2 linked regions of the Danio rerio genome follow. The protein of the gene in region 1 purifies or fractionates together with the protein of each later gene. This does not show direct contact. Links are inferred from orthologs where the notes say so. Each region holds a gene or a part of one and is shown in the gene's direction. Other genes may lie near its edges.

What was found.
Region 2: the proteins of sdhaf1 (region 1) and sdhb purify together in Homo sapiens (co-immunoprecipitation; 3 studies listed by BioGRID and IntAct, with this or other methods). This does not show direct contact. The link is inferred for Danio rerio from reciprocal best matches to the Homo sapiens genes SDHAF1 and SDHB.

The regions. Positions count from the first base shown.
Region 1 is NC_133196.1:22,794,708-22,799,031, forward strand, and holds the start of sdhaf1 (succinate dehydrogenase assembly factor 1, mitochondrial), read left to right. Parts: upstream 1-1,460; 5' UTR 1,461-1,599; intron 1,600-4,324.
Region 2 is NC_133197.1:261,272-265,617, forward strand, and holds the start of sdhb (succinate dehydrogenase [ubiquinone] iron-sulfur subunit, mitochondrial precursor), read left to right. Parts: upstream 1-1,521; 5' UTR 1,522-1,533; coding exon 1,534-1,596; intron 1,597-2,628; coding exon 2,629-2,762; intron 2,763-3,533; coding exon 3,534-3,619; intron 3,620-4,000; coding exon 4,001-4,137; intron 4,138-4,253; coding exon 4,254-4,346. UniProt on the Homo sapiens protein: Iron-sulfur protein (IP) subunit of the succinate dehydrogenase complex (mitochondrial respiratory chain complex II), responsible for transferring electrons from succinate to ubiquinone (coenzyme Q).

The DNA.
Region 1 (4,324 bases):
ACAGCGGAATGAACCGCCAACTTATCCAGCACATGTTTTTTGCAGCGGATACCCTTCCAGCCGCAACCCATCACTGGGAAACACCCATGCACACTCATTCACACACATACACTAAGGACAATTTAGCCTACCCAATTCACCTATATCAAATGTTTTTGGACTTGTGGGTAAAACCGGAGCATCTGAGGGAACCCATGCAAACACGAGGAGAACATGCAAACTCCACGCAGAAACGCCAACTGACCTAGCTGAGGCTCGAACCTGCAACCTTCTTGCTGTGAGGTGAATGTGCTACTCACTATGCCACCATGTTGTCGTATTTATACATTTTTGGACAAATTTATTTACTTAGTAATTTTTTCAAATATTAATTTTACTGATTTGTTTGAACATTGTTTATTTATTTACCTTAATCCTTTTTTTATTCTAAGCAATAGTTGATTTAAAAATTTTCTTAATTTATTATTTATTTTATCTATATATTTTATATTTATTAGATTATTGTAATCCAATTTAACTTTTTTTATTTGAAGCAGTAATATTTTTTTATATTATTATTATTTGTGTTTTTTTAAATAAATGTTTTAGACTCCTTAGCACTTATGGACCATTAATTCAAAATGTTATAGATAAGCATTAGTTAATGTTCAGGAAAACACTTTAGCAATACACAATTAACATACAGTGCTCAGCATGAATGTTTTAAAATAAATATCCATTTCTCAGTGAATATGGGTACTATATATATGTGTATTTGAATAAACAAATTTATTAAACATATATATTATTATTTTAGTCAAAAAACATATTTATAAATGGAAAGATAATATATTTAAATTTATGCAAAATATTGCAAAAAAAAGTACAGACTACAACATTTCAACTAAATCTTTTCTATTTTTTGTTTTTCTTGATTTTTTAAAAATGTAATTTAATATTTTTCTCTAACATATACATTTGGCTACTAATTTTCGAACCATAATTATAAGTTATTTTGTTAGATTAGCTTCAGATTTGGCTTCAGTACTGACTAATCACACAATTATAATATTGTAAAGCATCCTATAGAAAATATACATTTAAATGAGAGATTTGTGGGGATGTACTTATATATGCTGAGCACTGTATATTAAATATGCTGCATTAAGTTAGTCTGTAGCATGTACTGTTATAATAAAATGAACACAAGGACTTTAGACTCGACACAGATTTGACTGAAAAACTCGACTTATTAATGTCTTGAAAATGTGAACGTGTCTGTTTTGTAATCCAATAGTAAATATAAAATATATGTATTTTGCAGTCGCAACATAGACTTTAATAACTTGGTATAGCCTGCTGTTATAGTCTATTTATATCTAAATAAAGGATAAACTCTGAACTTTGGCTGGTCTTTGTTGATTGTGTTGCTGTTCAGCCTGACCACTAGATGTCAGTATATCTGACTATTACTGCATTTCATAACGTCACAGCATGAGTTAGGAAACACAGGTCATATTTTTGTGACTGCTGCGGTCGTTGTGTAGAAGACCTCTATTTTAAGTTTAAACATATACAGCTGACAAGGAATGAATGAAATTAAGCGCTGTAACTGACAAGGTAAAGTGTCGTTTATTAACGTTAGCTACCTTTGTTTATTTGTATGTGAAGTATAGTGTGCTAAGAGTGTTTGGTGTTGACATGACATGCCATCAGAATTGTTTACTAACGTTAATCATTGTGCTTCATCATAATAATTGAGAGACTACATATAACATGTTTTTACTAAATTTTGAATTATTAAGGTTATAATTAAAAAAAAAATTATGTTTTAGGTAATGCAATTTTTGGTTCACAATTCTTGTCTCCTTTGTTTCTCATCACTCCACATAAAAAGGTCAAAACAAATAAATAAGTGCTATATAAATCAGGGGAATTGTTTGTAAAAAGAAAAAACTTCAGAATATTGATTGAAGTGAAATGGCCTATTATGCCCAAAATGATTTTCTCCGGATAGTTCCTTGAATTAAAATCTACAGTCATGTTCAACTATAAACACATATACCACAAAATATCATTTGTTTCACTCAATACAATACAAATAGATCAAGTGTAAAATACTTAAATATTTATATGTTTATTAGTGAAAAAAAAAGATGTTATGAAAGATATCAGATTTTCAAAATTGACCAATGGGAAAAGCACCTGTAGTGTGAATGAACTTTTATACTAACTTAGTAGATTTTGGTTTGATTAATTAGTTTTTAAAAGACCTATTAATTATTAATTTAAGACCTAATAAACTTATTATCACAGTTTATTTGATTAAGTGTGAACAGTGCCATGTGCCAACTAGAGGTAAAGTTGGTTTTACATTCACACATTCGTTCATTTAGAAGTCTCTATATTATTTACCATGTTACTTTGAATATTCGATCGGAATTGGCATGCAAATATTATTTGAAAACAACATTAAGACTGTTTATTTCACTGTGAACAATGTTGTACTTTGATAGTCATTGGCTGCTGATATAATTTCACTGTTTGGAGTTTGCATATAATACTTAAAAGAAATTTTATTATTAAGGGGAAAGTCTGAATGTGCGAATATAAAACCAACTTTACCTCTATATGTGCAATTTGTCGCTCACCAAAATTTGCACCAAAACTGCTAAAAAGTTTCCTGGATATGTTTTTATCTTTATATTTGAAAATGAAGTTAACAAAATGAGAGCAATTCCATGCAATTGTCAACCTTGGCATTAAAAATAAATTTCACCAAAATAGCGAAACCCTTTCTACGTTTTTTTTTTGTGCAGGCTTTTATTTTACAATAAAATACTCAAACATGTCTCTGGCAGTGTTTTCAAACATTTATATTTAATTTACCATAATCACAAAAGTGGCAGTTACACATCTGTCACATCCATAACGAAGTTTTTTTTTCTCATGAATACAAAAAAATGTAAAATAAAACAAAATCAATAATGTTTGTTCTTGCAGCCAACTCTTATCTTTTTGATTAGCATTATTTATTTTGGGTTGTGCGGTTTAATTCACAGAATTTCAACAAAATATGTTCTATACTGTAAACTCGCAGACTTTTTTGGTCACATTCATAACACATGTTTATTTCTCTCATTTAAAATATAAAAATACGTTTACTGATTGATATTTTTCTGATTCAATAACACAGAACTGTGGTTAGTTCTTTAGGAAAATATAAACAGATGTTTCAATATAATGTTAAATTGTATACTTTTTTATGTATACAGTAGGCATGGACCGGTAAAAGATTCTGACGGTATGATAACCTTGGATAATAATATCATGGTTTCACGATATTGTGAGTCCTCTCTAAAATATGTTCTTTTTAAATGTCTGGGTATAAAAAAATGACAACTTTTATCCCCTTTGAACACAATATATTTTAATTTGATAATAATTCAAATCACTCATTGACTTCTGCTGTCTTTATTACTTTCAAAAACACAGATTTTTCACTTTTTAAAATGACATCTTTGAATATCGTTGCTGCTGGAGATACTGTTGTCCTAAAAAACAACAAATAAACATTAAAAAAAATCTTACACATATACCTTATGAATGTTTTTTTAAAACCTTGACTTTTTCAGTCCGCGGTATACCTTGAAAACTGTTATTGTCCCATGCCTAGTGTAGTGCTCAGCAGATATAAGTACACCCACTCACAAATCTACTTTTTAAATTCATATTTTTATTAAGAAGCTATACAATATTGTATTTGTGCATATACATTAGATTAGCCAGTACTGGAACCAAATCTTGAGCTTATCTAACAGGATAACTTATGATAACCGTCGTAAAAACTAGTACACCCAAATGTATATGTTATAAAAAAATATTAAATACAAATTTAAAAAAGAGGAAAAAACAAGAAAAACAAAAACAAAATTATTTAAAAGGATTAGTTGAAATTTTGTAGGTTGTATTTTTTTATTTAATTGTATTATCTTTTAATTTCTAAATATGTTTGGTAACTAAAATATTACTTTAATAAATATATCTGTTTAATAAATCTTTTTTGTTTAAATGCACCAAAATACATGCCTATATTTTACTGAGAAATGGATAAAATTATTCACTTTCGAAATGGGGTATACTCGACTATGCTGAGCATTGTATAAGTTTTAAGCTTATGCTAAAAAATGTCAATAATTGCTCAAGAAAAACAAGAGAACAGAACTGATTTACGAACACAATAGAAATGTCACAAAAACATCTTTAAAAATTCAACAATATATGTAATCTCTCATTATGAGATCATTAAACAAAACTAATCATTAAGTACAACTTAAAGAGTGTT
Region 2 (4,346 bases), on another chromosome or scaffold:
CCCCCTGCAGCTCAGGCAGGTGTGTGTCGTGTGTTATACCTGTCTCATGCTGCGTCTCTTGGCTTTCCGTGCTTTGCTGGCGTAAACGAAGGCCCTGCGCACCGCACGCACCGCCAGACTGTAGCAGCGGCTCTTCCTGCCGCGGAAATGCTGCAGAAACACAACAGAGTCACACACGCCATAACAACCATACGCAGAGCAGACTGTAGCGCTTACAACCACGCTACAGTAAAGCAGACCAATTACTCTGCTGTGGTGATTCTACAGTTGCTATGGTAACACGACAACTATAGTAACTGATCTGTTGTGGTGATTCTACAGTTGCTATGGTAACACAACTATAGTGACTGATCTGTTGTAGTGATTCTACAGTTGCTATGGTAACACGACGAATATAGTAACTGATCTGTTGTGGTGATTCTACAGTTGCTATGGTAACACAACAACTATAATAATATAAACAAATGATCCAGTAGTGTAGTTGTCGACAGCTGTAGGGTATATTACACTGCTATACTCCACAGTTTACTGCAGTAAACACTAGTACACTGCAGTGTTTATCAGTTCCCTATAGTGAACACTGCAGTCTGCTGGAGCATTGACTAACAGGGCTGTCGGTAACATATACAGTATAATACACTTAACTGTTGTGTTCAGACACACTGAGGTATTTTCTGTAAATGACTATAGTATATAACAGGGGTACACACACACACACACACACACACACACACACACACACACACACACACACACACACACACACACACACACACACACACACACACAGAGAGAGAGAGACTCACCCGCGCGTTCTTCAGCAGCTCCTGCACCTTCCAGTATCGGTCGGGTCCGCGGTTCCGGATCCAGCAGGAGAGCGTGAGGAACACCATGATGATCAATCAGTGTGATCGATCCCCGAGTTTCAGCAAGTGTGTGTGAACTGACGCTTCATGTGTGACCTCAATCTCTCGTGCGCTTTCTGGAGTCGCCGGTGACGCGACGTCACATCCGGCGCATGCGTGCCTCATCAGAGTGACAAAGTAAAAGTTTATAGTAAACGCTTATGATGAAGATCTCCTTTTGTGCTGTTATTATTGACTTTCTACCCCCTTGGCATTTTTGTTTACTGTATTGTCATGTATCTGTTGTTTAAAGCATAATAAAAATGATGATGATTTGCCATGCAGATGAAAACATTATATTTGGGCTTTTAAACTCCACAGAGGAACATGACGGTTTCCTGTAATAAACTGTATCATGTTTCTGAAGATTTGTCACGCATGTTGTTGGAAACAAACACAGCGCTTATTATTATGATTATTATCATTAGTAGTAAACGAATGACAGAAATGCCGACATTTATATTATTATAAGATAAAATATGCGCTTATATAGCGCAGGATCACTCGTGGGCTGTGTTTAAAAGCGTAGTGAGCGCCCTCTGCAGTGCGCAGTCTCTGTGGGCGGCGGAGTGCGTGATTTGAGGCGCATGCGCAGTGAGTGTTGGAGCAGAGAGTCAGACTGATCAACATGGCGGCTGTGTGTTTCTCCTTGAGCCGCTGCTGCTCTGCTGTTCACCGGCCCGCCGTCACGGTGAGTTCCACACCTGATCTGCACTGATAATCGATCACCACCGCTCATCAATAACCCGTCTGATACCGATCATGACACGTGACTGACACACAGAAGCCGAAGTCCAGCTCTACGAGTACTGTCGTCAAACTCACCGGCGCGGATGAGCGGAAATATCGGAGAATAATGCGGTGTATGAGTGTGTTTATAGTGAAGTGCTGCGCCATTATGATGGAGGAATGACAGTATCTGCTTTATATAACGCTGACTGAGCGCGTGTGTGTGTGTGTGTCATCATGTATATGTCACAGAACACTGCAGTGCTGCTGCTGTTTATAATGTGAAGGTGTACAGTGTCCAGAGCTGATCTGATGCTGATCTGAGTGTTCTGACAGAGTGTGTGTGCGGTTTTGAGTGTGTGTTTGGTAACTGTCAGCTGGGTCAGTGATGTAACGAGAGTGTGATTCTGTGTGTGAACACTAGAGGTCAGCAGTGTGACCATTTCCCTCTGCAATCGGGACTTATGTCATGAAGGTCAACACTATTATAAGAGTTAACAGCCTAAATGGAAGAGGATTATAAGAGCCGTAAGTTCATTGTTTTATTTATGTTAAATTGACAATAATGTAAAAAGCAAAATATTTTCCTAAAAGTAATTTAATTTTTAATATTAAGTATATGCTGATGTCACTTCCGGGAAGGAAGAAGTTGTGTCATGGAGATGGAAGCGAGACAGTTTTTTGAGCGTGTAATGTAGTTCAGTTAAGTTGTTATTAAACATGTTCGAAACGACATCACTGGACTGTCTTATGTTACCCGCGTTCAAATCCTGCTAGCTCAAAGAGAGAAACAAGACAAGGATAAAGCTGTTTACATGTGTATGAGGAGGACATGCCAATCCACATCCAACATTATGGAGAAGCAGAATACACGCTCTTATCATGGGGGTAGAACATGGTTTGGGCCAGAACTCGCTGTTAAACCAGAAGAAGTGGAGTCTGAAGCTCTCTCTGTGTGTGTGTGTGTGTGTGTGTGTGTGTCTGTGTGTTTCAGGCGGTGCGGTTCGCGCAGACAGCAGCAGCTCCTGCAGCTCAGCCCAGGATCAAGAAGTTCCAGATTTATCGCTGGGATCCAGACACAGTCGGAGACAAACCTCGCATGCAGACATACGAGATCGACCTGAACACGTGAGTGGAGCTGCAGGCGTCTGTTCAGGAGTGTCTGAGTCTGAGGCTGCGTTCACACCTGTGAATGGATTCAGTTGTTCTGAAACAGAGATTATAATTGTTACAGTGTTGCTCTTTGCTCTTGGAGCGGTTCGCTTTCACACTGCAAAGTTTCTTTCCAAAAGAGCTAAAACAAGTCACGTGTGAGTAAACTCTCCTCACATTGGTCAGAGTGTCAGGGTTTATTTTGCAGCGTCCCGCTCAGCTGTCAGGAGAGGTGGTGGTTTGGTGGTGATTGACAGGGTGCACGCGATGTGTCTGAGGAGAGATGCGGTGGGGAGGGTGAGAAGGGTGCGCGACGATGCCTATTTGAGGACTGGGAGGGAGAAGCGAGATTACCGGGAGATCATCACTCGTTTGCGGGCATCCGGAGACTCGCGAAACTTCCCGCCATACTCATAATTCTCTCTTCATATAGCCGTAAGCCTATTACATATCCATAAAACACTGTGATATAACCGCGCTCAGATCGAATCACTTTCTCACTGCAATCGATCCGCTCCAGGGTTCGTTTCAATCGAGCCGAGACCACCTCACTCAAGCGATCTCAGAGCGATTACTTTGGCGCGGAACAGAGCGCGATTGCCCTGTTCACATATGCCAAACGAACCGCGCTAACTGGGCAATCGAGACACGTTTAGGTCTGAAAGCACCCTGAGTCTGAGAGTCTGAATCTGAGGGTCTGTGGTTTGAGTCTGAGTGTCTGTAGTTACTGTAGTGTGTGTCTGTTAGGTGTGGGCCGATGGTTCTGGACGCACTCATCAAGATCAAGAATGAGATGGACAGCACACTGACCTTCCGGCGCTCCTGCAGAGAGGGTAAGCAGCGTTCGAGTGTGTGTGTGTGAGTGTTTGTGTGTGTGTGTGTGTAAGTAAGCAGTGTTGGAGTGTGAGTGTGTGTGTGTGTGTGTGTGTGTAAGCAGTGTTGGAGTGTGAGTGTGTGTGTGTGTGTAAGTAAGCAGTGTTGGAGTGTGAGTGTGTGTGTGTGTGAGTGTTAGTGTGTGTGTGTGTGTAAGCAGTGTTGGAGTGTGAGTGTGTGTGTGTGTGTGTGTGTGTGTGTAAGCAGTGTTGGAGTGTGTGTGTGTGTGTGTGTGTGTGTGTGTGTGTAAGTAAGCAGTGTTCAAGTGTGTGTGTGTGTGTGTGTGTAAGTAAGCAGTGTTGGAGTGTGTCGCTCTGATCAGCGTGTGTTGTGCTCCTCAGGCATCTGTGGCTCGTGTGCTATGAACATCAACGGTGGAAACACATTGGCGTGTTTGAATAAGATCGACACCAACACCAGCAAGGTGACCAAGATCTACCCGCTGCCGCACATGTATGTGGTGAAGGACCTGGTGCCCGTGAGTACAATAACACACGTTTCTGACCCGAGTTTCTTCATCGTCAGTATTATTGAGCAATAAGACCCCTGAGCAGAGTAATCCTGGTTAATAACACACCGCTCTGCCCCCTGCAGGACATGAGCAACTTCTACGCCCAGTATAAATCCATCGAGCCCTACCTGAAGAAGAAGGACGAGTCCCAGCAGGGGAAGCAGCAGTACCTGCAG